7 linked regions of the Cricetulus griseus genome follow. The protein of the gene in region 3 interacts with the protein of the main gene of each other region in a pairwise test. Links are inferred from orthologs where the notes say so. Each region holds a gene or a part of one and is shown on either strand. Other genes may lie near its edges. The genes, in order: Tmem11, Synpr, Fate1, Syndig1, Rprm, Smim14 and Emd.

The links.
Region 1: the proteins of Fate1 (region 3) and Tmem11 interact in binary tests that used the Homo sapiens proteins (3 or more experiments, as listed by UniProt). The two-hybrid records come from large-scale screens. The link is inferred for Cricetulus griseus from reciprocal best matches to the Homo sapiens genes FATE1 and TMEM11.
Region 2: the proteins of Fate1 (region 3) and Synpr interact in binary tests that used the Homo sapiens proteins (3 or more experiments, as listed by UniProt). The link is inferred for Cricetulus griseus from reciprocal best matches to the Homo sapiens genes FATE1 and SYNPR.
Region 4: the proteins of Fate1 (region 3) and Syndig1 interact in binary tests that used the Homo sapiens proteins (3 or more experiments, as listed by UniProt). The two-hybrid records come from large-scale screens. The link is inferred for Cricetulus griseus from reciprocal best matches to the Homo sapiens genes FATE1 and SYNDIG1.
Region 5: the proteins of Fate1 (region 3) and Rprm interact in binary tests that used the Homo sapiens proteins (3 or more experiments, as listed by UniProt). The two-hybrid records come from large-scale screens. The link is inferred for Cricetulus griseus from reciprocal best matches to the Homo sapiens genes FATE1 and RPRM.
Region 6: the proteins of Fate1 (region 3) and Smim14 interact in binary tests that used the Homo sapiens proteins (3 or more experiments, as listed by UniProt). The two-hybrid records come from large-scale screens. The link is inferred for Cricetulus griseus from reciprocal best matches to the Homo sapiens genes FATE1 and SMIM14.
Region 7: the proteins of Fate1 (region 3) and Emd interact in binary tests that used the Homo sapiens proteins (3 or more experiments, as listed by UniProt). The two-hybrid records come from large-scale screens. The link is inferred for Cricetulus griseus from reciprocal best matches to the Homo sapiens genes FATE1 and EMD.

The regions. Positions count from the first base shown.
Region 1 is NC_048600.1:74,863,484-74,867,567, reverse strand, and holds the start of Tmem11 (transmembrane protein 11, mitochondrial), read left to right. Parts: upstream 1-1,284; 5' UTR 1,285-1,492; coding exon 1,493-1,548; intron 1,549-4,084. UniProt on the Homo sapiens protein: Plays a role in mitochondrial morphogenesis.
Region 2 is NW_023276807.1:171,601,859-171,605,358, forward strand, and holds part of Synpr (synaptoporin), read left to right. Parts: intron 1-237; coding exon 238-429; intron 430-3,500. UniProt on the Homo sapiens protein: Intrinsic membrane protein of small synaptic vesicles. Probable vesicular channel protein.
Region 3 is NC_048604.1:3,690,889-3,694,911, reverse strand, and holds the start of Fate1 (fetal and adult testis-expressed transcript protein), read left to right. Parts: upstream 1-1,223; coding exon 1,224-1,329; intron 1,330-1,824; coding exon 1,825-1,952; intron 1,953-2,875; coding exon 2,876-2,982; intron 2,983-3,279; coding exon 3,280-3,355; intron 3,356-3,727; coding exon 3,728-3,859; 3' UTR 3,860-4,023. UniProt on the Homo sapiens protein: Involved in the regulation of endoplasmic reticulum (ER)-mitochondria coupling. Negatively regulates the ER-mitochondria distance and Ca(2+) transfer from ER to mitochondria possibly implicating it in the regulation of apoptosis.
Region 4 is NC_048599.1:29,351,879-29,355,911, reverse strand, and holds the start of Syndig1 (synapse differentiation-inducing gene protein 1), read left to right. Parts: upstream 1-1,233; coding exon 1,234-1,713; intron 1,714-4,033. UniProt on the Homo sapiens protein: May regulate AMPA receptor content at nascent synapses, and have a role in postsynaptic development and maturation.
Region 5 is NC_048599.1:120,434,663-120,437,913, reverse strand, and holds Rprm (protein reprimo), read right to left. Parts: upstream 1,975-3,251; 5' UTR 1,714-1,974; coding exon 1,384-1,713; 3' UTR 501-1,383; downstream 1-500. UniProt on the Homo sapiens protein: May be involved in the regulation of p53-dependent G2 arrest of the cell cycle. Seems to induce cell cycle arrest by inhibiting CDK1 activity and nuclear translocation of the CDC2 cyclin B1 complex.
Region 6 is NW_023276807.1:132,496,523-132,500,022, reverse strand, and holds part of Smim14 (small integral membrane protein 14), read left to right. Parts: intron 1-1,913; coding exon 1,914-2,056; intron 2,057-3,500.
Region 7 is NC_048604.1:1,461,291-1,465,382, reverse strand, and holds the start of Emd (emerin), read left to right. Parts: upstream 1-1,292; 5' UTR 1,293-1,429; intron 1,430-4,092. UniProt on the Homo sapiens protein: Stabilizes and promotes the formation of a nuclear actin cortical network. Stimulates actin polymerization in vitro by binding and stabilizing the pointed end of growing filaments. Inhibits beta-catenin activity by preventing its accumulation in the nucleus.

The sequences.
Region 1 (4,084 bases), on a different chromosome or scaffold from region 3:
ATCACCATAGGTGGCAAAACCATAGAAAACTGAAGGATGCTGGGAAAGGGAGCATGCCCCTGCACTATTATCAGGGTTTCTCGAGAGCTGAGGGCTTTCCTACCACTTTGAAATGCTCCTGGGAAAGTGAAAGATAGTATAAATAAGGAAGGGGAAAATGGGAAATAAAAAATAGCACAGATTTACCTCCTGGATGAGTCACAGGGTCACCTACTTAGGTTTCTAGGTTCTTGTATCTCAGGACAAAGAATTGTATCCGAGATAATAGAAGCAATTCATTAAAAAATTTACAAAGATACTCAGGAGCTTGGGAATAGGCTAGTGATCTGGTTAAGACTCATAAACTCAAGTCCTTAGCCATAATCTCATGAACCCTTTATAGGCCATTTCCATACCACCTGCCTTCTCTAGGCCAAGTTTGTTTGAGTAGCCCAGGCGGGGAAGGGTTTCCAGGCAATTATCAACTGGCTTTTTCATACCTTATTCTTTTTGTCTTTTTTCTTTTTCTAATGCGTCTGGGTGCTTTACCTGTGTATTTGTGTACCTCGTGTGTGCAGTGCTCATGAGGCCACAAGAGGGCCTTGGATATTACTGGATTAACAGACTATTGTTAGCTGCCATGTGCCAGGAATGGATCCTGAGTCTCCTGGAAGAGTTGTCAGTACCCTAACTGTTGAACCGTCTCTGCAGTCCCTCATACCTTATTCTTGATATCTTTTGCTACACGTTCCTAATTTTCTGCCACACTTGCACTGTGCTACAGTTTGGCACTTGGAGGCAGGGTTGCAGCATTCAATTTGAAAACCAGGAACTTCCTAGAAACCACACAGACCCGAGGTCTTGAAGCATAAAAACTGGCTGGGAGGAAAAGGCATTTTGGGTCAAGCACATCTACAGACCCTCAAAATCTCTGAATTTGCCAGGCTGGCAAGCTCTGGTCAGGAGAGAGGGGCAGTTGACACTGCGGAAGCAGAGGTAACCTTCAAACTGGGGGAGCACGAGTTCTAGACTGCAGATAAGAAGAGAGAAACGGAGGAGGTTAAGCTGCTCAAGTCATTGTAAAGTGTGGGACAGTTGAAACGCAGGCCCCCAGCGGCCGAGGCCACAGTGAAGGGCAAGAGGGCTGAAGCCAAGGGTTGGGCTTCTCAGGCCCTGAGGGCGGGGTCGCCGCGCGAAGCGCTCTGGGAGTGGTAGGCGCTTTCATTCCGCTCTCCTTCAGCCATTCGCTCTGGGCGCCCAAGGACGTCCAGGCGGTGGGCGCAGCAACTCGCACACAGCGACTCGGAGACTCTTTCCTCAGGCGGAGCCCACCTTTTGCCCTCTTGCGCGCGGCAGTTTACAGCAGGCTTCCGGTGTGCGGCATTGTGGGCGTTGTAGTCCGCTCGCAACCTCCCACTGCGTACGAACGGCTCACCGGACTACGTTTCCCTTCGGCCCGCGCGCACCCCGAGCCGCTTCGGCGCCAGCCCCCGACGAGCCGAGAGTCTCCAAGATGGCCGCGTGGGGAAGGAGGCGTCTGGGTCCGGGCGGCGGTGGCTCCCGAGAGAGGTGAGCTGGGCTCGCGACTGCAGGCAGCCACCGACCTTAGAGTCGGCGAAGCCTCTGTGCCACGCGCGACTCGGGGTCGTGTCCTGCCGCACGCGGGGCCCAGTCTTCGGGGCTCTGGTGTGGGAGGAGCGGGCCGGCGCGACGGCCGAGGAGCGCCGGGAGCTCGACTAGGAGGGGTAGCGGCCCGCACTAGGCGGTCTGTGAACCGGGGTGAGCGACTGCGAGGGCCGCCAAGCTGTCCTGCGGAGCGGCGTGCGGGCCCTGGGTCGCTGGCTCGCGCACGTGGCTGTCTGGGCCTGGGCGCCGGACGTGGCGTGGATGGACTCTTGGAAGAGGAGGAGGGTAGAGCGGTGTGCTTCTAGGGGCGTTTGCTGAGAGCAGCAGCGTGCCGGGCGCACCTCCAAGAGCCTGTGCTTGGACGCCTTCTGAGCGGCAGTCATCGCCACTCTTAGAGGGTTCGCTGCAAGCGCTTCTGCCCTAAGTCCTTTAAAGTGACCTTTTCAACAGAATGCGTTTGGGGGCGCTAGGGGTTTGTTTCTTCCAGTGATTTCCGAAGATGAGAGTAGTTGGCGTGTTTCATGTTGAACTTTTGTAGGCTTTTCCTTCTGGGAAGTGTTATTAGCTAGTAGGTTACTAGAAACTGTTCAGTCGTTAGAAGTTTGGGGAGATGGGTGTATATCGGTAGAACTACTGGATTAAGCTGCTCAGTCCGTTTTGCAAAGGCCTCTGCATTTTACTGTAGATGTCAGTAGAAAAGAAAGTTGGGCTTTTTTTTTTTTTCTTTTCCGATGAGTACTGTCAAACATAAAAGTTCTGTCTTCACTAATCTGCATTGTTCTTTTTTGTCTGATGCATCCCATGTACCTTGCTTTTGCTTAGAGAACTTTCCCATCCCACACAATTCTTCCTGCTTGGCAGTAGTGATAGCCTTGGTTTTATTCTTGATTTCAGTTAGGCAAAATAATCTATTGTGCATTTACTGTTCCATGGAAAAGCAATGGCAAAGAGTAGTTTTTCTAACTTTCACTTATTTCTTAGATAAGAACATCAAAAGAGGTTATTTTGTTGTTTTCCATGTCCTTAACACCTTAAGGGATGCTTTCAGACTTTTAATTTCAGCCCCTTAGTAACAGGAAAGAACCTTCCTAGAAGACCCAGTGTCGGACAAAGACACTTTTACTACTCCTGTTGTTTTTTAGAGGCAGGGTCTCACTGTGTAGCGCTGGCTGTCCTGGAACTCACTCTAGTTGAAGTTTTGCTTGAATTCACAGAGATCAGCCTGCCTCTGCCTCTGCCTCTGCCTCTGCCTCTGCCTCCCAAGTGCTGGATTAAAAGTGTGAGTCACCAAGCTCTAGGATACTCTTTTTGTTGTTGTTGCTTTTTTTCCCCCTGAGACAAGGTTTCTCTGTGGCTTTGGAGGCTGTCCTGGAACTAGCTCTCATAGACCAGGCTGGTCTCAAACCCACAGAGATCCTCCTGCCTCTGCCTCCCAAGTGCTGGGCCAGGCGTGGGTCTCCACCGCCTGGGTGCTCTAGGATACGCTTATTCTTGGATACAGACTGAAAGGGCCAAACATGGATGCCTCAGGCATGGGACAAGAGCCTTACACTGTAGCCTTCCTAAGAAAATAGATACAGAGAACTATTTTTCCTTTGTCTTGAAACTAATATTAGTCAAAAATAGTTTGTCAGTCAGTCCTTGATTGAGCTTCAACAGCTTTTAAGGGAATTTAAATGAAATGCAGAAAGATTTTGAGGTAAAACTAGATAGTAGTTGACACTCTTCAGAACAGCTTCTCTTTAGTTCCTCACCTGACAACTAATTGAGGTTATCTGTATGGGGCCTGTAGGTGTTCAGGTTATGACCTTTGGTCAGGAACTGCAGTTTCTACCCATGTGTGCAGATGTTGTGTATCTACCAGGAATGGGGTGTCAGATTTTGTGATTTGAGAGTTGCCATCTGCTCTCCTAGATAATATGTAGTGACTGGAGGCTTCCCCTCTATTTGCCTTTGTGGGAAAGTCCTTGCCAAAGGACTCAGTCTCAGGATCCCATCTCCTTAAGGCCCTCCCACTCTGAGCAGTGTATGGAAACAACCCCACCTGACTAGCAAGCTGACTTCTGGGCACACCTCCATTCCAGCTCACTTGGTGGCCTGACTGGGTGGAGCAGGTCAGAATAATTGTATACTCAGCACCATAGATTATGAGGACTGAGTGTATTATTGGCTCTCATGACATAAGTAAGCTGTTTATGGCTCCTAAGTGACTTTGTTCCATGTCACATTTGGACTGACTCAAATTTCAGCTTCATGTTAAGAGTACTTCAGAGTTGCTCACACCTTGCTGCCTGCCCTATGCTGAAACTGATGGAGATGCAGGGTAGTTTGTGGCAAGGGCTGGAGTGGGCATTGCTTTGAACAGACATCATATTGGCAGTGGCTGCATACTCTGGAGCATATGTTGTATTTATTGCCTTGCGTAATGCTGATTGTCAACTTAGTGTGCATTGGTTCTTGCTCTGCCTGCTTCTTAAGT
Region 2 (3,500 bases), on a different chromosome or scaffold from region 3:
TTTCAATAAACAAAACTAAATAACAGTTTAATTATTTATCTCATGTAAGTATAAATACAACATCAACAAACTTTATTTATTTTACAGTATCTCTAGGTCCTAATGTTGTGGATCTTAGAATTTTCAAAAAACCAAATGGTATTTGCATAAATTAATAGATTTGCTTCTGGAACTCACATCTGTTTGTTTGCTGTTTGTTTGTTGTTTTTTTTTTTTTCCTGTCTTCTCTCTGTGCAGGATTTTATCGTCACTGTCGTCTTTTCATTCTTGTGGTTGGTTGGTTCCTCTGCTTGGGCAAAAGGACTGTCTGATGTCAAAGTGGCAACTGATCCAAATGAAGTCTTGTTACTGATGTCAGCTTGCAAGCAGTCCTACAACAAATGCTTGGCTGTCCACAGCCCTGTCATGTCCAGCTTAAACACATCCGTGGTGAGTATTTGTTCATCCAGGCTTGACTTCCCAAATCTTAATTGATGGTCAGTGATTAAGAAAAACACCCCAAAGCTACTGTATACATTTCTGCCTTTAAAACTAGGCCAATCAAAAGAGGGAAGTCTCACTGACTGGTAAGATGATATTTCAGCCTCCAAGATTTTCAATGTCAAAACCAACACACTGTAATGTTTCTGATTACAGTTTTTAATAAAAACCCAGCAGGTATTAGCAGCTGTGGCTAAGATGACAGTCAAGTGAAAATTCTAAGCTAAAGCTGATATAAAGCCTAAATGTTAAGGCTGAAGCCTGCCAGAAGTTAAAAAGAATATTTGTTAACTCATGTTTCCTGGAAGAGAACATTTTATTAAAGCCACACATGGAATATACCAAATTGGTTGGAGAAAAATATGCAGACTTAGTAGGGAGCAAGAGGAAATGCATGGCTTGAAAAAGGACTTAGAATAATCCTGTATCTTCTCCCTTCTTCAGTATAGCTCTTCGATAGCCTTAGAAAATATGTGCTAAATTGGCTGAACAAAATCAAATATTGTCATCAAGAATATAGGCCTTACAGGAAAGTATGAATGCCAACAGTTGGAGAGAGGCTAAATTGTATTTCTAATTTATACATGTAAGCAATTGTGCTACTCCACAGGAGGAAGCTGCATCTGATAAAGAGCTAGGATGTTGACAAAAAGAAACATTTACTGAGGAGTGGGAGTCTCAGCTGTGTTCATTAAAAGTACACCATCCAGCAAAAGTGAAGTATAGTTATCTTGGCTGCAACATTAACCTGTGTCCCTGAGGCTTTCTGACATTCAGTCAGGGAAAGGGGCTACAAAGAGGGCAAAGGTTGTTCCACTCCTCCTGATTTCTCTATAAATCTTGTCTTGGTGAAATAGCAACCATGGAAATCCACTATGCCCTGGATCTCACAAACATTCTTACATATTGCTGGCCACACTTGTGAGTGGCAACTTGTGAGTATGCATTAACATATATAGTGATTTCTGTAGCTTATTTGTAGGCAGTGCCAAAGACATAATTATGACTCTCATCTCAAAATCTAAGAAAATAAAAATTGCTTGACATGTTTAACAAATCAAGTAAATGATATTTGTCAACTGCTAGCTTGGTAATGCATGTCCCAAGTAACTTATGACATCCCACCTGGCCTTGTCATTCCACTAATGTTCTAATAAAGTTTAGACTAGAAGGTAGGACTTAGAGATGAGGAATAATGTGTTCTCCTAACCCTAACAATAATGTGAACATATGGAAGGAAAGGCCTGCAGGGTTGTCATTGTGTCCCTGACAGCCAAGGCTTTGGTGGTTCTAATAGAACAGCTTGTTCAGATAGATTAAAGCAAAGTTTACAGTATTCTTTAGACCCTTGTCTGGAACTAGTGTCTGTACTCATTCAGATGTCTACATTGTAAATAGAAGCTGATCCCAATTTTTTCATTAAAATGATAGTTTCTGGAAAGATACCATGAACCTGCTGAGATCTGAAGACATGAGAGTGGAAGAAGCTAGAGCAGGTCCTCAACTCCTGATGTCAGAAAACTAAAATACTGTCTCTCTGAGTTGCTGAGTAGTGGAAATTTTACCTACCCTCCCATTTTTCTCCTTCAGTAGAAAAGTTCCAGGGCAGACCTCAAGCTATTGGACTAAAACTTCACACTGCAAGGAAATGAATTGTGTATTACTATCACAGGAGGAAGGATATTAATCAGTCAACTCAGGTTTTTGATTTAAAATTGTGTTTCAGGCAGCGAAACCCAAAAATAATGAGAAAAACTAGAAGTGTTCCCCTAGAGTAGAGTCTATGGCTGTAAGCTGGAAGATAGTCCAGAGACTGTATCTTTCCCATTCTCTACCACTTACCCTTGGGTGTGCACCTGTTGAAAGACACTGTTATATTAAATTCCTTTTCTAAATAGAATTTTAATTTTTTCTTGAACATATGGGAGAAGGTAGGTACCTTCAGTTTCTAATTGTGTCTTTCCTTTCAAAGAAACAGCTTTGGCCAACCCAAAGGCTCAGTGGGTACAGGTGCTCACTGACCAAGTTTGGTAACCTTATCCCCAGAATTCGAAAAAAGGATGAAGAGAACAGACTCCACAAAGTTGTCATCTGACTTCCACATGCATGCATGCACACACACACACACACACACACACACACACACTCAGAGAAATAATAAATAAGTGTTGTTAAGGGAGGGGCACTTAGACTGAACTGATATCACTCAGATCCCGTTACAAATGTCTGAATGTCTGGTTGAGAGCATCCCATTGGCCCTTTCAGGGACAGGTATCCTTCTCAGTCTCATCAACTATAACTATAGGCTTTAGGAATTGTATATTCAAAACATGGCTCACAGAACTCACCCTGCTGGTCAAGTGCAAGTTCTGAAGAAGGAACCATGCCCTACACATACTATGCTCTGTGATCTCTGCAAAGAAATTGGTCAAGAAACAATAAATATTTTCTACTGTGGTAATAAAATTATTTTCTTTGCCATTGTAACTTCACAGTAGCCCTAAAATAAGGTGAGGTATCAGGACATTACAGATGCTGGAAGATGATTTTAAAGATCCTGGAAAAGGTTTCTGGATTTAACTACACTAATGGTAGAACTGAAGCCAAACTCTCCTAATACTGTTAGTACTCAAAAGAGCTGAAGGCACACTGCTGGAATAGTCTCCAAGGAGGGGTCTGGTTCCACTAGGTGACAGTGTAGTAAATCCTTTACGAACAACAAACCAGCTCATGCCACCATCAAATCTCCATGCCACCATCAGAAAACTGTAGACAATTATGCAAGAGGCAGCAGACTCTGAGACTGCTGAGAGAAGATAATGCATGGAAAAAACACTTAGCATGCTGCCCAATCTGTGGAAAATGCTGATTAAGGACCACATTACCCAGAGTTATATCTCATTGGTCAAAAGCACATTCCTTTGGGTGAATGATAAGGGCAGAGCCCTTTACCATGGCAAAGTTTCAAGGATACAGAAGAAATGCTCTGATCAGAGCCTGGTGGCACAGTGCCCAGTGAC
Region 3 (4,023 bases):
TTTATTACTTTATTTTTACTATCTTTCGTTTATTTTTTCTGAGACAGGGTTTCTCTGTGGAAATCTGCCTGCCTCTGCTTCCTTCAGCAAATCCTACCGGCGTGAGCCACCACACCCAGCTACTCTATTTCCTCCTGTTATTTTTTCTCTCACAAGCCTACATATATTTTTAAATGCAGTGTAAACCTTTAGAGGTTTTTCTTTATCTGGATCTGTCTGTATCATCTTGGGAGTGCTGAGTCCAAGGCCCAAGAGCGCCGGGACGGCGTGAGCCTATGGAAGCTGTTCCAATGCCTCTCAGCACCCTGACAGGGCAGGCTGTGGTGGCAGGTTTCCCTCATTCTCTGGGAACCTTGGGGCATGGGGTCATCCCACTCACTGACCCATTCCTTAAGGTTTGCACTTGATTCTTTCAGCACATTGGTTGAGTACAAGCACCTGACTGGGAGGAAGCCATTTTATTTAAAGTCCATTAGGGATAATAATCACAGCTGCAGTATACCTTTGCAGAAATACTGAGAGTTGAGTGTCTGATAAACTCACTGGGGATCAGAACCTGACTAAATTGACACATACATCTGGTCTAATCTGTAGAAAAACTGAGGCAGAGCTGAAACATACAGCAGGGTACACAAGCCCAGCATGTCCCTCTTGCCCCTCCCTGCTTCCTTCCCAGGATTCATATCAGACAAGGCCATCTACTTTGCTTGAAGACTCTGCATTGGAGGAGGCAGGATGTTCTGTACAGAGAAGCTCCTCTGATAGAGTGCTGTACCCTAGATTACTGGCCAGTCATGGGCTTGTAGAAACCATGATAAGCATGGGACCTGTCACTGCTTTGGGCACTTATGGATGCTTGGGCCGTATGCCAGCCCTTGTCTCTTTCTAGACCATGATGGAGGATGGGATCCTCCTACCCGTGAGTAGCAAAATCAAGGGGAGATGAATCAGGGCAGCTCACAAAAACAGTACCACTTAGAGCACTATCTCATCTCCAAGTTGCTTACACAGCAGAAGAGAAGGCGGCCACGAGACCCACCAACAAGATACAGTGGGAACTCAAGGTGCCAATCCAAGGCCTGAGCACAGAGAGGGAGAACTGGCTCCACCCTCTTGTGCCAGTATATCTCCCTCACATTTCTACCCCTGGAAGAGGCGAGCTTCCAAGTGTCTTCTCTGTGCCATCCACCCTGAACAACCTTACAAATGAATACCTGGTGGTGATGGCAGAAAGCCCTTCCAATGTCAAAGAAGGGTATAAAATGTCCATTTCTGAAGATCTAGGGACTGGAAACTTTGACCAAAGCCAAGAACAACCAGTGATGTCAGGTGAGAATCCCCTAAAAAGCCTGTTGGGTATAGTTAATCATGTGCGTTTACTTGTGCTGCTTCTACAACATCCCAGTCATTGTGCATGCTGTTTACTTAGTCTGGAAGGTTATTCGTTTGTTTTAGGTATTTCAGTGTTGATTTATGCTTTTCTTTTGCCATATTAGCTTGTTTTGGTTTTTAATCATTCATGAACCATTTACATATCTGAATTTACATGGATGGAAGATTTTATTATTGGTATTTCCTATTCTCTCATACATAGAGATGGTTTGTGTTTGGGATTTCATCTCTTGATCATTGCTCATGCTACAGAATCCTAGGCCCAGGGCCAGATTTTCAGTAAATACATACTGACCTGTTGAACAGATGGACAAATAGGCTGAGCATCAGAAGTGAATGGGTATTGAGTGATTTCTGCTGTTTTCAGTACCCAGAAAGTTCTGGTAAAACCTTTAAAGCAGTATTCATAGCAGTCTCTGTTCTTCTTTCTAGAAATGATGGAACGTGGGTCCCGGTCACTGGGAGGAATCCAAAGACGTCCAAGGGCAGAGCAAAAACCTGCTGGATCTGGTTCAGGCCAGTCATTTTGGAATGTGACTGGACCTCGTCCCAAGAAAGGGGTATTGACAAATGGTGGCTAGTTTAGGGTGGGAAGTTCTTACTTTGGGGCTCCTGTATTCCCATGGTAGATATAGCTAGAAGTTGATCATTAGGAGGAGGAAGCTTCCATATACCAATAAAGCAAATGAATGAAGGGTAGATCATTGGAAGGTTAGGGTTGTACTGTATAATGCTGGGACTTCAATGCTAGAAGTCTGCATGCCTAGCAAACATGTTGACTGGAAAATGCATCTATAGTTGACCCTCTACATTCCTAGGTCTTGCATCCATTGGCTCAATCGATCACAGATGGACACTGTCTGTGGGTGGAGGTGGAGTGATTACATCTCTAGAGAATACATGCAAGATGTTTTTCTTGCAATGATTATCTACACAATATAGTATAAGAATTACTTAGATGGCATTTACATTTTATTAGACATTATAAATAATATAGTAATTATTTCAATTATATAAAAAGATATGATTATGCTATATTCTAATATTATGACCTTTTACACAAGCAACTTGGGAATCTGCAGAGCTGCATAACCATAGTGAGGCGTTTATTCTAGAAACAGTCTCCATGGATACCAAGGGATGACTATACAATTCTTTATAAACTTCCAAGGTGTGAAATGATGTTTTCTTTTAAATTACTTAAAATCATCTTGAAGGTTTACATTCATCTTCAGTAGGTAGCTTGGGTTTTCAAGGGATGCCTGCATGTAAAAGTTCTACCAAAAGACAGAGAAGCCTGTCACTGCATTTTCCTTGGCACAGCACACAAGGCTAGAAGCTACCAATAGGCATGGTGTGTGTGTGGGGGGGGGCACAGGAAGATGAAATGACATCATGGGGCTCCTATGGGGTGTACTGTTGATTCATGCACAATGCGGTGCTAAAAGGGTGACTTGGAATGGTGTATCCTTTCTTTCTGTAGGGTCATCAGGTGCAGATGCCCCGGATGCCAAGAGATCACAGTCAGGTGGATGGCTATCTCCAGGAGTTTCCTGGCAACTTCCAAACAGGGAGGGTCCCTTATGAGCGGTAAGAGTTCAATTGTCTTGTTCCTAGCTACTGGGGGAGGAACAAGCAGAGGGTAGGGCCATAGGGACTAGTGAGCATCCGAGTCGAGAAGCAGATGTATATACTTGAAGTATTGGGATACTATTGCCTCCTGGCCATTTGGGATCTACGTATGCTTTGGCAAAGCCTCCGGCTTCTTTACTACACAAGGGAAGGACTGGGATCTTTATCCAAAAAGCCTTCAGGCATACCTTATTGCTCTGTGTCTTTTCTATGGCCACCAACACCTCTGAGCCATGTAACCTTTCCTTCCAACAGTCTGGAGGCAGATTTAGTGGCAGAGATTGGCCTGGAAGAACTCAATGGGCTGGAGATGGAAGTCATGAGAAGGCAGGTAAGCATCTGTTGTATAGTTGGAGGAAGCATCATAGTGCTTTGGAGTGGGTGATTTTGGCAGTTGTGAACAAAGCCACCCCCGAGTTTTCATAGCCTTTGTCCAAATCATATCCTGTAGCAAATGAAGTGAGGTTGGGCTCTCCTTTCTGTTCTTCTCAGGCCTCATGCCTTGAGTACCTCATGTTGATGTTCACCCTTGACTTTCCTTTATGCTGGAGATGCTGGACAGGAATTGGGGAAGAGAAAAGGATGTGGAAGGGGGAACAAAGATTCATTTTGGTTTTGGTCATATTTTCCCCCTACCCTTATGTCTTGCCTTTCTCATAAGAGTGATTCCTGCTCACAAGTCCTGTGTTTGGTCCTTCCACAGATGCAAGTGATTTCTGGGCGGCTGCGTGCCCTTGAGGACCAGGATGCCACGTGGCGCCATAAGGAGGCTGTGCTCTTTAGTTTGCTGGTCTCAGTCTGCATAGCCAACCTGTGGCTTTGGATGCGTCAGTAAAGTTTCACAAACACCACAACCCCATTAGAGCCATTCCTTTCTTTCGTCTTCCCTTTGCTTTCAAGGATGCCCTTATCCACGCCATTCTATCTCCCAGCAGCCCCCCAGGTAGCAGTTGGGTCATTTTACCCCTCTGCTTGGGCCTTCTGCCTGGAGATACGCTC
Region 4 (4,033 bases), on a different chromosome or scaffold from region 3:
AATAAAAAGTCTACAATTAGAAAATACTTAAATGTTATAGAAAATGTTAGTGCTAGAGGAGCATGAGATGAAGCTTTTGTGTGTATATCCATATGTGTATATGTCTCCATATGTGTGTGTATGTGTGTGAACGCTGGAGCTTCCTCCATCATTCTCCACCTTAGTTTTTTGAGACAGGGTCTCTCACTGAAACTGAAGCTTACTTATTCAGTGAGACTGTCTAGCCAGCAAGCTCCAGAGACCCTCCTGTCTCTGCCCCCATAGTGCTGGAATTAAATGTGCTGTACCACCACACTTAGCATTTTTTTCTTTTATTTGGGTTCTTGGGATCGAACTCAGGTCCTCATGCTTGCACAGCAAGCAATTTTCTAATTGTGCCATCTCCTCAGCCCATACAAGATGCTATTATTTATATAATGGCTATTAACATGCAATCTGCAGAAATGCTAGCATTACATTTCCTAGAACTTTAAGCTCTGGTCTCTTTGGTTCTTCCTTTGTCTCCCTCCTTCCTCCTTCTCTTTCTTTCTACATTGTGCAAGCCTAGATAAAATTTTCTAAGGGCAAACAATTTGGAGTCAGTCATTATTTATGAGTGCAGTGCTCATCCTACTAGGTACACAGGAGTGCACTGGTATATTCATGACTTATGTCCTCAGTGTGGAACTGTGTCCACAGTGTGGCACAGTCTTCCTGTCATTAATTTTTTGTCTGTGCAGAGTGTGGTTTTAAAGTGTCTTCCCTTGGTGTGTTCTCCTGCTTGAATGAATGGTTGTATACTTGGAATAATCGATCCCCACTACAGACATACAATTCTATTTCTCTGTAGACCATTGGGATGCTAATGCGATTGAGTTTCTCAGTTTCAGGATGTCTGTTGTCAGACAGAGGCTTCTGTAGGACTGCAGTAGATCCAGTTCCTGCAGCTTCCCCCATTTGGAAACAAAGACTTCATAGGGATGCAGGCAATCGATTTCTGGCTTCATCTGGATGGCGCACTAATGGGCCCTTTGAAAATTCACAGAATGGGATGGACTGTATTTATCTGACTCCATAGCTACTATGCATGCCAGATGACTAGTAAGCTCTGATGCAATGTGTGTCTGTGTGATGAGCTTTGCATAATTTTTACCTTCTCTGTTTCCTGCTCCTCCAGGGAAATGGGTCCTATGGGGCTTGTGTGACCAGTGAGCGCAGCCTGCTAGCCTGACACCCAGCAGGAGGGAGTCTACCATGGATGGCATCATTGAGCAGAAGAGTGTTCTGGTACACAGTAAGATCAGTGATGCTGGCAAAAGAAATGGCTTAATTAACACCAGAAACTTCATGGCTGAGAGCAGGGATGGCCTGGTGTCTGTTTACCCAGCACCTCAGTACCAGAGCCATAGGCTGGTGGCCAGTGCAACACCAAGCAGCCTGGAAGGAGGCAGAAGTGAGCCAGTGCAGCAGCTGCTGGACCCAAACACACTGCAGCAGTCTGTGGAGTCCCACTATCGTCCCAACATCATCCTCTACTCAGATGGGGTGCTCCGCTCCTGGGGGGATGGCATGGCCACTGACTGCTGTGAGACCACCTTCATTGAGGACCGATCGCCCACCAAAGACAGCCTGGAGTACCCCGATGGGAAATTCATCGACCTCTCAGCTGATGACATCAAGATCCACACCCTGTCCTATGATGTGGAGGAGGAAGAAGAGTTACAGGAGCTGGAGGTCAGAGGATGTGCTTGTTAAAGACCTTCTGGGATGGGGGCAATGGGATTTGAGGGATACCTGTGAGTGCTCAGCAAAAGTCAGGGAGTGAAATTGCCATGCAAAAATACAGAAGGCCTTATGGAGCATTTGTGAGGGATGGAAGGAATGGAAAAAGACTGGGAGCTGTACAGTGATCCCGGCCAAAGGTGACTATAGAGGGAAATTACCAATATGGAGTCAGGTAGAAATACAAGGGTATTTAATAGGGAAAAGCCTTACTTACAGAGCAACCTAGCCAGCCGGTGTGGCAGCAGTCTGTCCAGCAAGTACAAAAGTGAAACCGAAAGAGAAACGCAGTCCCCTGAAAGTCTCACCCTGACCACGTCCTCACAAGCATGGTCAGGCACACCTGTAGCCAGCCCCTAAGTAGGCGTGGCTACAGCTTCCCCTACAGGTGACCCCTAGAATTAGCCCTGTATGTGGGGCACAGACATCAACACTGCATGGCAGGGCAGTTGGGGATACTGCCACTGAATAACCTACAAGAAAGAGGGATACATGAGGCTAGAGACATATGGTGTGGGAACAATTGCTGTCATAGCTGGCTGTTTCAGAATAAACAATAGAAATTTAAAGGGGGAGATAAGGGAATTAAACCTGGGATTTATCAAATCGTGGGAAAGCACTGGTCCAGTGAACTGTGTTCCTGAACCCAACATGCCTTACCTCTTTAGTCGTTGAGGCAAGTGAGGGCCTTTGAATTGCACACAGAGAGACACATAAGCAGGACTCTGTGAGATAGGGCACAGTGATTGCCATCCATGTGATGTGGGAGTCATTGAGAGGCCACTGCAATGCAGGAAGAGCACAGAGGGTGTTCTACTGGGCCTTGAGTACAGTGCTCAGGAAGGGAGCCTGTGAGGGCCACCACAGGTCGCTGAAGAGCCCCCTCCATAAGCAGAGACATTTAACCATCTTATGCCTCCAGTGGGAAGAGAAGGGCATGAGGCCAGCCAGAGCCCAAGGGACGCTAGATGCTGGGTGCTTTGGCTTCTGTGCTAATGCCTCTGGCAACTATCTGCTGTTTTCCAAAGTCTCAGGGTTTGGCCAAGAGTAAGTGTCTGAATCTGCCTGTCCTGTATGAACCAGCAAAGCAAGCACAAGTGCAGTGTGAAGTGGACACAGAAATTCTGTTGAAGGAGTGGCTTGTTGGCTGTGAAAACAGTCCTCAAAGAGAAACGTAGATCTGACATTGTGTTTTGAGTGGGAAGTTGTCAGAGGAAGCCCTCCTGAGCAGCAAGCAGGGTCCTACCACCCAGAACCTTAATCATCTAAGGGAGCCTGAACGCAGGAAAGTCACACACTAAGCTATAAGACAGAAGGGCAAGTTGACAAGCTGGAGCTTCCAGGGAGTTAAAGCCCATCTGTACCTTTCATGTCTCTTGGCTTCTGTGCTGTGCCACATCCTGTGGGCCAACCTGCTAGATTCCAATTGAAAAAGTGTGGAGTAACTGAGAATCAGAACCTTCTAGTGTTTAATCCGCAAAACAGCACAGACCGAGTAGGACACCACATGGAGGAACTGAGGCCTATAGGCTGCAGGCTTTGACGTCTGCCTTTGGCTGGAGTAGACAACCATGGAAGAGTTCAGGCAGGAAGGCTGTGACAATGTGATGGATAGCTTTGTGTCAACCTGACACAAGCTGAAATCATCTGAGAGCAGGGAACCTCAATTAACAAAGTGCCACCAGAAGATCAGGCTGTAGGCAGGCCTGTAAGGCACTTTCTTAATTAGTGATTGATGGGGGAAGGCCAGCTCATTATGGATAGTGCCAGTCCTGGGCTGGTGGTCCTGAGTTCCATAAGAAGGTAGGCTAAACAACCATGAGGAACAAACCAGTAAGCAGCATCCTCTGTGGCCTCTGCATCAGCTCTGCCTTCAGGTTCTTGCCTTGCCTAACTTCCTGCCCTCACTACTATAAACTTTTTTTTTTGATTCTTGTAGATTTCATATCAAAATCCCACTCACCTCCCCACCCCCTTGCCTCTACCTTCTGCCCCTGTGACATGATACCCCCCAACAAAACAAAACAAAAATCTTGGTGTGGAAGCTGTACTGTGGCCCAGTGAGTCACACTGGATACCCCTTAATCCATACGTCTTTACTTGTAAGTGTTCTTTGTAATGCTCGTTGGTTTGACCTCTGGCTTCTGCTATCCTATTGATACTGGGCCCTTGCTGGGACTCCTCCTGGATATCCTGTTGTTGTCCTGTGTCATGGAGACCCTGGAGCTTTGAATCTGCAGTTCTGGCCCCTTCACATACCCCAGCCATTCAT
Region 5 (3,251 bases), on a different chromosome or scaffold from region 3:
TACCTCCTGACTTGGACACAAGGGTTTCTCTGCTCAGTATTTCGAACTTCCTCAGCTACTTTTCTTCAGAACCTGCACTTTTCTTTTTCTGGAGCAGCATCCCTATGCTGTCCTGCTGACGTGGGTCAGGGGAAAGACGCCCTCCCTAAAGGCTAGCTTGGCCGGCTTCTTCTTTCATTAGCGGGGTAGCCTAAGTTCTCCAAGGAGCCTGGTACGGAAGTGTAATCTTCCCGCGGGGACCTCCCTGACATCCGAGACAAAGTGAAATTTGAAGTCGTAAATATGGGAGAAAACAAAGGCCGCTGTTTTCGAGATGGCTTTTGTGCCTGAGGCTTGGTGTGTGCACTCTGTCGGGCCCCTCCTTCCCTCCCTCCGGGGATATAAGGCTCTACGAAGTAGAATCGCAGCTCCGGCAAGGCGAAACCTCCTGGCCAGGACCCAGACTGCACAGCCGACCTTCCTGTCCGCCAGGAGAATAGAATGACTACCAGGAGGCCAGAAACAAAACACTTAAATGTTTCATTTATTAAGGAAATGTTAAATAAGAAAAAAAAAGTCAAACGTTGTCACGGATATCAAGAGCACTTTTGTGGAGTAAACCGTGCATACACGAGCTACAAATTCTACTCTGGATCTTTGTCCCGGGCTTAGCTGGAGCGCCAGCCTCCCAAAGAGACCCAGCTGGAAATGCACTAAAAGAAAGCACTTAACCCCATTCACAGTCTCAGGCTACCCTCCCCCCACCCCTTCTCCCAAGATGACAAAAACTCTAACCCGCAGGCAGGCAAACAGGCCACTAGGGCTTAAAAGACTTATCAAATATTTGTATTCAAGCAAACTAACACAGATCTCTATAAACCACAGGTTACTATTGATCAAAGTTCCACTCTCCCCGCAGGTCGCAAAACCCACACACATCTATGTTCCCATTAGGTCTGCAGTGTGCTGTAGAAACAGGTCAATTTCGTGTCACCCGGCTACTAGTGCCTCTGGATATCCTCCCCACCCCAACTCCCGCCTTTCTCGGCCTCTCCAGATGTCCCCAATGCTGGGCCCACCTGCAGGTGGAAAGGGGCCTTCGCCTGGTCCATCTCCCCGCGTCTCAGGCAAGCAACGGCTCCCAAAGTTCTGCGCCTTAATCACCCTCTTTTGCCACCTGCTGCTGAGTCCCAAAGTCTGGATGCTCCGTCTGAAGGCTTGCTTGGGGCCTTTAGGAGAGCGATCAGAAATGGGTCACTTTTTCCCCAAAGGCAGGAGGCGAGAGAAAAAAATTCTGACTCCGACAGGTTTGCTTTACTCGGTCTCTGATGGTGAGAGGTGCATCACGGCTGGTGGAGTACTGGAGAGGCCAGGAGCACCAGCCGTGGGGGACCAGAGGGCCTCTCAGTAGGGTCCCACGACCACTGCCTCAACCTCTTTAGACGGCCTCCGGTCCTTCACCAGGAAGTTGATCATGCCTTCGGATTTGATGAGCAGGTTGCAGCCAAGGAAGAAGATGCCGAAGACCACGGTGAGCGAAAGCACGCACATAACTGCGATCTGCACCACGCGCATGATATACAGGCTACGCTCGTCGGGGCCACCCTCGGCGAAGCCATCGTCGGTCACCACCGACGCCTGGGTGCAGCAGCGCACGGCGCGCTCCAGAGCCTCGCTGCTGTTGGCCAGGAAGAGACCGGCCACGTCGGTCTGGTTGCCCAGCACTGAATTCATCACGGGAGCAAGCGGGAGCCAGGAAGGCGAGGATCGGAGGGGTGGGGACCGGGAGGCGGTGGCGCCGGAGAAACAGGTGCTGGAAGGAGCGCTGGCTGGCACACTTGTGCGTACGGGGCTCCTCAGCCTCCCTTTCAAAGTCCCTGGGCCGTGAGAGTCTCAGGAACCTCTCCTGGGCGCGCTGCAAGCTGGCTCGTGTGCGCCTTGTGCTGCCCGGGCTTTGCTCGTTCCCGGCAGTGCTCGCTCGACTGGGAGCTCTTGGAACTTGGCGGGTTGGGCCGGAGGGGCCGTGGGAGGCGCGGGCCGCGGCGGTGGCCCGGCGGCTGCTCCAAGCGCACAGCGGCCCCTGCTGGTGGCAGAGCCGCGCTGCGCCCCCCTCGGCCAGGAAGTGGAGGCAAAGAAAAGAGCCGTCCTAGCTGGGTTTGTAGTATCTTCATTTCCTAAGGCCAGGAAGAGGTCACTAAACACTCTTGATGTGATGAACAAGAAAAGGATTTGGGGAGAAAGGCTGAAAGTGGCAGAGAACCTGGGTCACACACGCTCTTGAGAGTGTCCTTCAATGCTGCCCCTCTCACCTTTGATTTGACTTAAAGTGGCCAGGTACCAGATGGCCCTGGCCAAAGCACTGACCCACTGCTTATTCCTGTCTACCTGCTTGTCCGGGAACAAGGGGGGCGGGGCAGGATCTGGGAAGTTATTTCTTTCTCACTTCTTTTTGGAGGTGTGGTGGTGGTATTATTGTTTTAAGGAAGGAAGAACTGATGAAAGCGTCAGAAAGAGTAAAAGAGTTATTACATGCCAACGTAGTGAAGCGGGGTTTGCAGTGAGCTGCAAGGCCAAGGCAAGGGGCAGGACGATGAAGGAGGTGTTCATCTGTGGCTCGTGGGTGAAAGTGCTAGCCAAGAACAGGGTTAACTCTCTGGTAAGGGAGGTGGACAGAGCCATCACTTCACTGCAACTTTAATTGCAGAGGAGTTTTTGGATGAGCTTTCAGCGTTTTTGTCCTTGGCAAAAAATCAGTTGTTTAAGGGAATTGCTTGTCCACATCCACCACCTAGACTGCTAGCCAACAGCTGGAAGCCTCCCACCAGAAGCTGATGCACACCCCCAGCCTTCCTTACTCACTGCAGAGCAAACTGCCGGCTTTTCAGGGAGCTATGGAGGCTCAGTCCTTCGTGACTGCTGTTGGTTCTAAGTTCCAGGGGAGTCTTACAAACTGGCCAGTTCGTATTTTAGGTTCCAGAAGATGCCCAGTTTTCGGCCCCCCTTCCCCTTCTCTCCTTTCCCAGTTCTCTGCTTTCTTTGACCCCTCTCTTTCTATTATAATGACTGGAAACGAGACATTGATGTTCAGTCCAAACTTTTGAAAGAATACTCTTAACTAGTTTCTACTGAGATAGTGGAGTTGCTTTGCTATTCTCTGCTCTATTGGGGATGGGGGTAGGGGTGGGGGTCGGGGGAGGCTCTATAACTAGCTCAGACTGTCCTTGAAGCAGTCATTCCAGGCCTTTTATTTCTGAGTTTGGCATCGATAGACA
Region 6 (3,500 bases), on a different chromosome or scaffold from region 3:
ACCAGAATCTACATTTTACTGAACTGTGATTGGTCCAATTGTGGATGTTTGTCCAATACCTACTATGTAGCTGACCATTCTGTTTTTTTGGCCTACCTATTTCAGTCTGTGCTCACTGCTACCCTATGAGGTGATGGAGTTGTTTACCATTCACAAATAAAGAAACCAAGGCACCAAGATTCAATAGCTAAAAGATAGTAATCAAGTAGCCACAAGATGGTCTCAGCTCCTAAAAAGTTAACGACCTAGGTAACAACTGGAGCTGAGTAGTTGCTCAGCGCATCCAAGGCCCTGGGTTTGATCCCCAGCTTGGGAAGACCGCAACAGCAATTTGATCACCTAATTAGGAAAACTGGGAAGCCATTCCTTGGATTAAGAAATGCCATGATACTTTGGAGAAGGCAGCAGGACAGTGGCAGAAAGAATGGGATTGTTATAGGGAAGAGGGAGGTAGTGAATGTGAATGCGTGCCAGACAGGGTGGAGGATATGGGATGCTTTGGAAAGACTGGGTGTGCATAGTTCCCTGCCAGAGTAGTATTGAATTACTATTACATCATATTCATTTCGGAAGGTTTTTTTAAAAATGTTCGACCACACCCGTATGCTGCTCCTGAATCAGATGGTCTGACACAGGGCCTCAGAATCTGTGACATGGGTCACAGGCCTTACTGATGTACTGCCAGGCCCGGAAAACATTGGCTCAAAAATATGTAGTAACTAGAAAAAATAAGATTAGATAAGTAGGGCCAGATCACACCAGCAAAGGTCAAGCCCGCATGGTCAGAGTCAGATCCATAGGCAGTGGTTACTGCTAGGCTGGTGAGCAGAGAGGTTCCTGTTACTGGTGTGATGACTCATACTTGTCTGAGAGTTAAGGAAAGGAAAATCAGGAATGTGAGGCATCCCAGGCTACCCTGGAGACCTAATGATAATGGATGATGGATAGACCCTGTGTAAGAAAAATAGGACCCAACAAAGTTCAAGTACCATGGCTCAGCTGATATAAAGGATTGTGTCCTGAGTTCAATCCCCGGGACTCACATGGAGGAAAGACAGAACCAGATCCTGAAAGTCACCCTCTCACCCTCATATGTGTGCTCCACACACAAATAAAGAATAATTGTTTTTGAGATGGGGTTTCTCTGTGTAGTCCTCATTGTCCTGCAAGTCGCTGAATAGACCAGGCTGGTCTCGAACTCATAGATATCACCTGCCATGCTTGATCTACATGAGTTAGTTCCAGGACAGCCTCAAGCCACAGAAATACCCTGTGTGTTGGGGGGGGGGGAGAAAAAAAAGAAATCGCCTGCCTCTGCCTCTGGAGTGCTGGGATTAGAGGCATGTATCAGCACCCCCTAGCTCCATAGGTATTCTTAATCTGGCTTCTTTAGATTTGTGGTTTCTAGAATCCACGAACCTTCTGCAATCAATGCAAAGCTGTTCATGTGTGTAGCCCATGGAGTGTCGGCTGGGCAGGTTAAGGGCACACACTGCATACTCTTGCAGAGGACCAGAGTTCTGTTCCAGGCACCTATGTCAGATGGCTCTGCTTATTGCTCCAGCTCTGGGAACCCAACTCGTTTGGATTCCACTGCATCTGTGTACACAATGCTCATCTCCACACACAGACATACACACATACCCATGATATAAAGTAAATAAAATTGTAAAGAACTATTGGACTAGTCAAAGTCTTTACTGTAATTTGGTTTGTGACTAATGTAAGTTATACCTTATAGATTTCTTCACTTCAGGGAAAGGGAAATTTAAACATACTAGTTTATAGCTATACCCTAAGTTATTAGTGCTTTTCTCAATATGATTTTTAAACATTAGAATTTTTACCTTTATGTCACGATATTATGGTCAGGGTGCAGTTTTGCTACACATGCTCCTCTTGTTTGTCTTCAGTGCCAGGACCCTCCAGTGACAGTGGCGTCAGCATTACTGTGATCCTGATGGCCTGGATGGTGATTGCAGTGCTCCTGTTCTTACTGAGGCCTCCTAATCTGAGAGGCTCCAGCCTCCCCGGGAAGCCATCAAGTCCTCACAGTGTAAGAATGACTTATCATGACTTATCTTTTCTGGGTAGCATGGGGGTGTTTGTTTATCCAAAGGAAGACTTAATTCTTTTTTTTTTTAAAGATTTTATTTATTATGTATATAACATTCTGTTTCCATGTTTATCTGCACACCAAAAAAAGGCACCAGATCTTATGCCTTATGCCAGATGGTAGTAAGCCACCATGTGGTTGCTGGGAATTGAACTCAGGACCTCTGGAAGAGCAGTCAGTGCTCTTAACCCCTGAGCCATCTCTCCAGCTCCCAGGAAGACTTAATTCTTGCACTGAATTCTTTCAGTGTAGTCATAATAAAATTTTCAGTTCCCAATTGTCCTTCCTGGAGATAAACATACAAAACAAACAGCTTGGTGTGGTTCATCTGTAACCCCTGTACTTGAGAGAGTGGGTCAGGAGGATTACCACAAATTCAAGGCCTGCCTAGCCTACCTAGTGAGTTCTAGGCCACCTTGTACTATAAACTGAGATCCTATTTCGGGGAGGGGGGGTGGGTGTCTACAAAATGACACAGCATCCAGAAAAAAAAAATAATAAACAAAAAACTTTTCAGGCTGGGGATGTGGTTCGGTTGGTCAACTGCTTGCCTGGCATGCATGAGGCCATGCATTGGTTCCTCAGTACCTCATAAACAGGGTGTGGTGGTACACACCTGCTTTTTTTTTGAGGCCTTTTGTTGTTAATGTTAGAACTTATTAGAGGAAAGCAAGTATTCAGTGAGAACTGGGCTGCACCATGGAGCTTTCAGTAGAACAGCAGATGCAGATTCACACTATTTTGAGTTAGCTAAGAATGGCTTCATTGGCACACACAGGCTTTCATTGCAGGTGTACCCTTTAATCCCAACACCTGGAGTCAGCTAGAGTTGGTCTCTGAATTCAAGGTCAGCCTAGTCTGCATGATGTGACCCTGTCTGTCTTAAGAAGGGAGAGAGGGAAAGAGGAAGGAAGGAAGGAAAGAAAGCTTTAATGTACTGCAGACTTTACTTGGAAAGGGGAATGTGCATAAAAAGCTTGCATTTATGAGATATTTCTTTCTTATCCTTTTTTCTTACATTGTGTGTACATCTTTATTATTTTTGAGTCAGGGAGCAGTTTCTCCAACGTTTAGAGATAAAGAAATCCAACTTAACCTGACTTAGAAGCCATCACAGATGACACACCCCCTGGGCCTTACTTGTCTTAGGAACAATAGTTTCTGTATCCTAAGCAAGGACAGAAAAAACCAAACTGCAGTAGAAATGCTGTTCACCCTTACAGAGCATGCCAGGGTAATTAAATAAAGTCTTCCCAGCAGTCCTAAGAGCTCAATTCTTTACTCTCCCTCTCTCTTTCTGTTTTTGAGATAAAGTCTCACTATATGGCCCAGATAGCCCTGATCTCATTTTGTAGCTCAAGCTGGCCACAAACTCAGGATCCTC
Region 7 (4,092 bases), about 2.2 Mb from region 3:
CCCATGTATGGAATTGAATCAATAATGGATTTTCCACTGTGTGCCATTTGTCTGGATCACCTGAGTTCACTAATTGGCAGGAAACAAGGAAGACGGAATCATAGTAATGGATCACACAGAAGTTGGGAGTCCCAGCTTCCAGCCCTATGATTTGGCTATTTCGGGGGTAGGGGTGGGGGAGGGGGGAGAGTTCTTGGCCTTAGAGTGGACACAGTGCCACCACCAGATGTCGCTCCATCTCAAAGATCCAGGGGCAGCTCCAGGAAGCCAAAATCCAGCTCTTTCATATTTTCCCTTATTTGGAGTAGATTCTTCGATGTTAGGCACACCCCGCCCACCTCTCCCACCCCCACCATCAGACCCTAGGCCAGGCCCTCCCATAGGGAACTATAGACCCAAGCCCACCAGCTATACTAGGACCCTGAAGAGCTTTTCTAGACTTGTGTAGCCAGGGGGCGCCAGGAGGGAAGGAAGCAGAAAATCCCTGAAGTAAAACCAGTGCCTGTAAGGCAAATTCAGGTGTGACAAGATAGAGAATTGATTTCCTGAACTTTCCACCTTGGCCAGACTCCTTGGAGCTGCAAGAGACTGTGTGTGGGTTTCACCCACTTTTTCTTTCCTGGGATCTGGGAACCTTGGTGCTTATGTTCTGGCTGGCAATGACCGTCATACTCAGAACCAACCTGAGACAGGACCCAAGATCCAGGCTGGAAATCTGTCTCGCTATACCCCTACCACAGCCCCGAAATCAGCTCCCTATGTCCAAACTAGCAGGGGACTCATCATCTCATATGTATTCATATGAGGGTGGACTCATATCCACCCTTGCCATTGGCTGAAAAGTGTCCTTCTAAGTTGCCACTCACCCTTATCCCAATCAAGATACTAGTCTCAAAAGACCTCCCTCCCACCCCCAGAGAGTCACACAAAGACCAATTAATGGGTACCCACGCCTGTACCCATCTCCTGCCAAACACTCAGATACCAGCCCCTCTTTCAGGGACCCCCCCCCCATGACCTCGAGCTCACAGATTCCTGAGCACAAACATAAGTTTGTGGTAAACTATGCAAGTCTGGACACTAACACGATGCCTCGGACCTGAGTCCACACCCAAACTGCCTGGCCTCGGCCTCTCTGCTTGCTTTCCAAACCTTTCCCAGCTCCCGAGCGTCGCACCCACTATCTGACTACTATCCGGTGTGGAGCTAATTACAGAGCCCTCACCTGCTGTCCCTCCAACCGCGGGGTGGCGCCCAGCTCTCTGCGCTCGAGCCAGAGGCCTCAGAACTCCCCTGGCGTCCGCTGCGCGCCGCGCGCCTCCACGCGAATGAGCCGCTGCTGCCCGCCTTCTTGTTGGCTGCATCCCCGCCCCACGTCCGCCCCGCGCGGGGCCCGGCAGAGCCCGTCCCGGCAAGAAAGCCTTAATTGGTAAAATCGCCCTGGAGCCGGGGGCGGGGAGGGGATGCGGGGGCGCGCCACGAGCTCAAGTGCCCTGGCTGACAGGCGACGCCATCCCTCAGAATGAGCTCACTGCTCCGTGAGGGCCGCCAGGCTTCCGGGGGGGGGGGGGGTCTGCAAAACCTGTGTTTAGGCCCAACCTTTAATAGGCTAGATGAGTACAAGGGAGCCAAATGCTTACTGGCTGGAAAGAAGGCCCCGCTCCAAAGCCACCTATACAGGGGAATTGCCCACAGTCACAGCCTTCTGCCTCTGCCCAAGCCTGGTTTGGCCACACCGGTCAGGTCTTGTTCCATGGGAAGAGATGAAACAGGTAATTGCAGTGAGCACCAACCGTTCGTTCCTAAGGCCCCAATGGGTCCCTGAGCACTGTAATGAACAAGCCCTTGTAGCTAGCTATCATTGATTTGGTTCCTGCTAGGTGCAGCTGTTGGCTGTGAGCAAACAACAAAAATACATTGAATTCTCAAAGCAATCAGGTGAAGTCTTAAAGCCTGGGGGTGTGCAGTGTGGTACAAAGTGCCAAATATCTGTGAAGTTGGTAGGCACAGCCATTACCTAATATTGTCAAGCTCTCTCTTCCTGTTCTATGTGCCCATTTCCTGGTAGTTTCAGATTCAACTCAAATGTCATTTCCTACAGAAAGGACACATAAAGCAATGCCATTTTTAACATTTTGTTATTCATTTTACCTGCAACCCCAATATGAGCTACATTTGCATTATGCCAGTGTGCACATAACATGAAATTGAAATAGATAATTGCAAATTAGATTTTCCTTTTCTGATGTGTGTGTGTGTGTGTGTGTGTGTGTGTGTGTGTGTGTGTGTGTAGACTAGGACTCACTCTGCAGCTCAGGCTGATCTGGAAATCACTATGTAGCACCCAGACTGGGCTTTGAAGTGGCAATCCCCCTCCCAATTTCTGTTTCATAAATGTTGGAATAACAGGCCTATTTAATTTGTTTTCCTACTCAATATTATCAAAAAGAGAAGGTGGCACATGCTATATAGTAAGATAAAAGGGAGAAAAGAAAGAATATGAAAGAGCAGTGAGGGGGAGTTTGATCACATCTCCAGAGTCAATTTAGTAATCTATAGTGTAACTTGAAGAGCAAAGTGCTGGGGTCCCCTCCAGGCACTATGCATCCAGTGCTACCTTTGTTGGCTCCACTGGCAATGACATTTCACATTCTGGCCTCCCAATAAGATCAAGATCCCTCACTGTTCTGTCTAGCAGGAGACCTCTGCTAGGGAAGCCAATGAATTATCATAAATTGCTAAATTAGTGGCTTGATTTCAAGTTTGTGAGGTGGCACTAGAGTACATGGAGATGATTGTCTTTCCGGAGGATAAACCCATTTACCCACAGGCATGGTAATCAGATCAACCGGTAGGCAGATGGAAGGGGCATGGGGGAGGTAGTGACTGTGAGCTGCATTTCAAAGACATCCCCCACACACATACAAACTGAATTTGAACTTTCTTTACTGCCCCTCCCAATGCATACACATCCAAGAAACCCAAGAAGGGTCTCCAATTTCTTTTTCTTTTCTTGTTTTTTCTTTTTTGGTTTTTGGAGACATGGTTTCTCTGTGGCTTTGCAGGCTGTCCTTGAACTAGCTCTTGTAGACCAGGCTGCTCTTGAACTCACAGAGATCCACCTGCCTCTGCCTCCCGAGTGCTGGGACCAATGGTGTGTGCCACCAACACCCGGCATTCCAGTTTCTTTCAGGTCTATCAACTATGAAGATTAGTTAACACAGCACTAACTGTTCCTTGGTAAAAATCATGAATTAAAAACATTTTCTTGCTGGTCGGTGGTGGTTCATGCCTTTAATCCCAGCACTCAGGAATCAGAGGCAGGCAGATCTCTGAGTTTGAGGCCAGCCTGGTCTACAGAGTGACTGCCAGGACAGCCAGAGCTACAAAGAGAAACCCTGTCTCAAAAAACAAACAAAATTTTCTTCCTGTGTTGAATAAATGTTTTCATGGTGACTTTTCCTTAAAACTGGTGGGGGGGGGTCTGGACTGAATTCAGAATTTAATGCATGCCAGCCAAATACTCTACCACTGAGATAACTACCTCCCAAGCCTCCACTATGTTACCCAGGTAGCCTTGAATTCACCTTGTAGCTCATGCAGGCCTTGAACTTTCAATTCTCCTAACTCAAAATCCTAAATGCTGAGTGGGATTACAGGACTCACAAAATTTTCTTATTCTTAGAATGGGTCACATATAGCCAGGCGGTGGTGGCCCATGCCTTTAGTCCCAGGACTCAGGAGGCAGAGGCAGGCAGATCTCTGTGAGTTCGAGACCAGCCTGGTTTACGAAGCTACACAGAGAAACCCTGTCTCAAAAAAAAGGGTCATTTCCAAGATTTTTTTTCCCAAATAGCCACACCTGCCAATAGCTACTCCCTCCCAGGAAGAACTTCCGAGAGACCTACAGAATGCCCTGCATACATCCTTCTGGCACCTCTGACAAATCCTGAGTGAGGTCTGAGGCCAGACTTTTGTAGCACCTAGATGACCAGGTACTTCCTGTGGAGAATATTTCCATGAATCACTCAATTTGGGGCTATTGCAAAAGCCTCTTTAGACTCTGGGATCTTGATTCTTCTGCTGAATGGT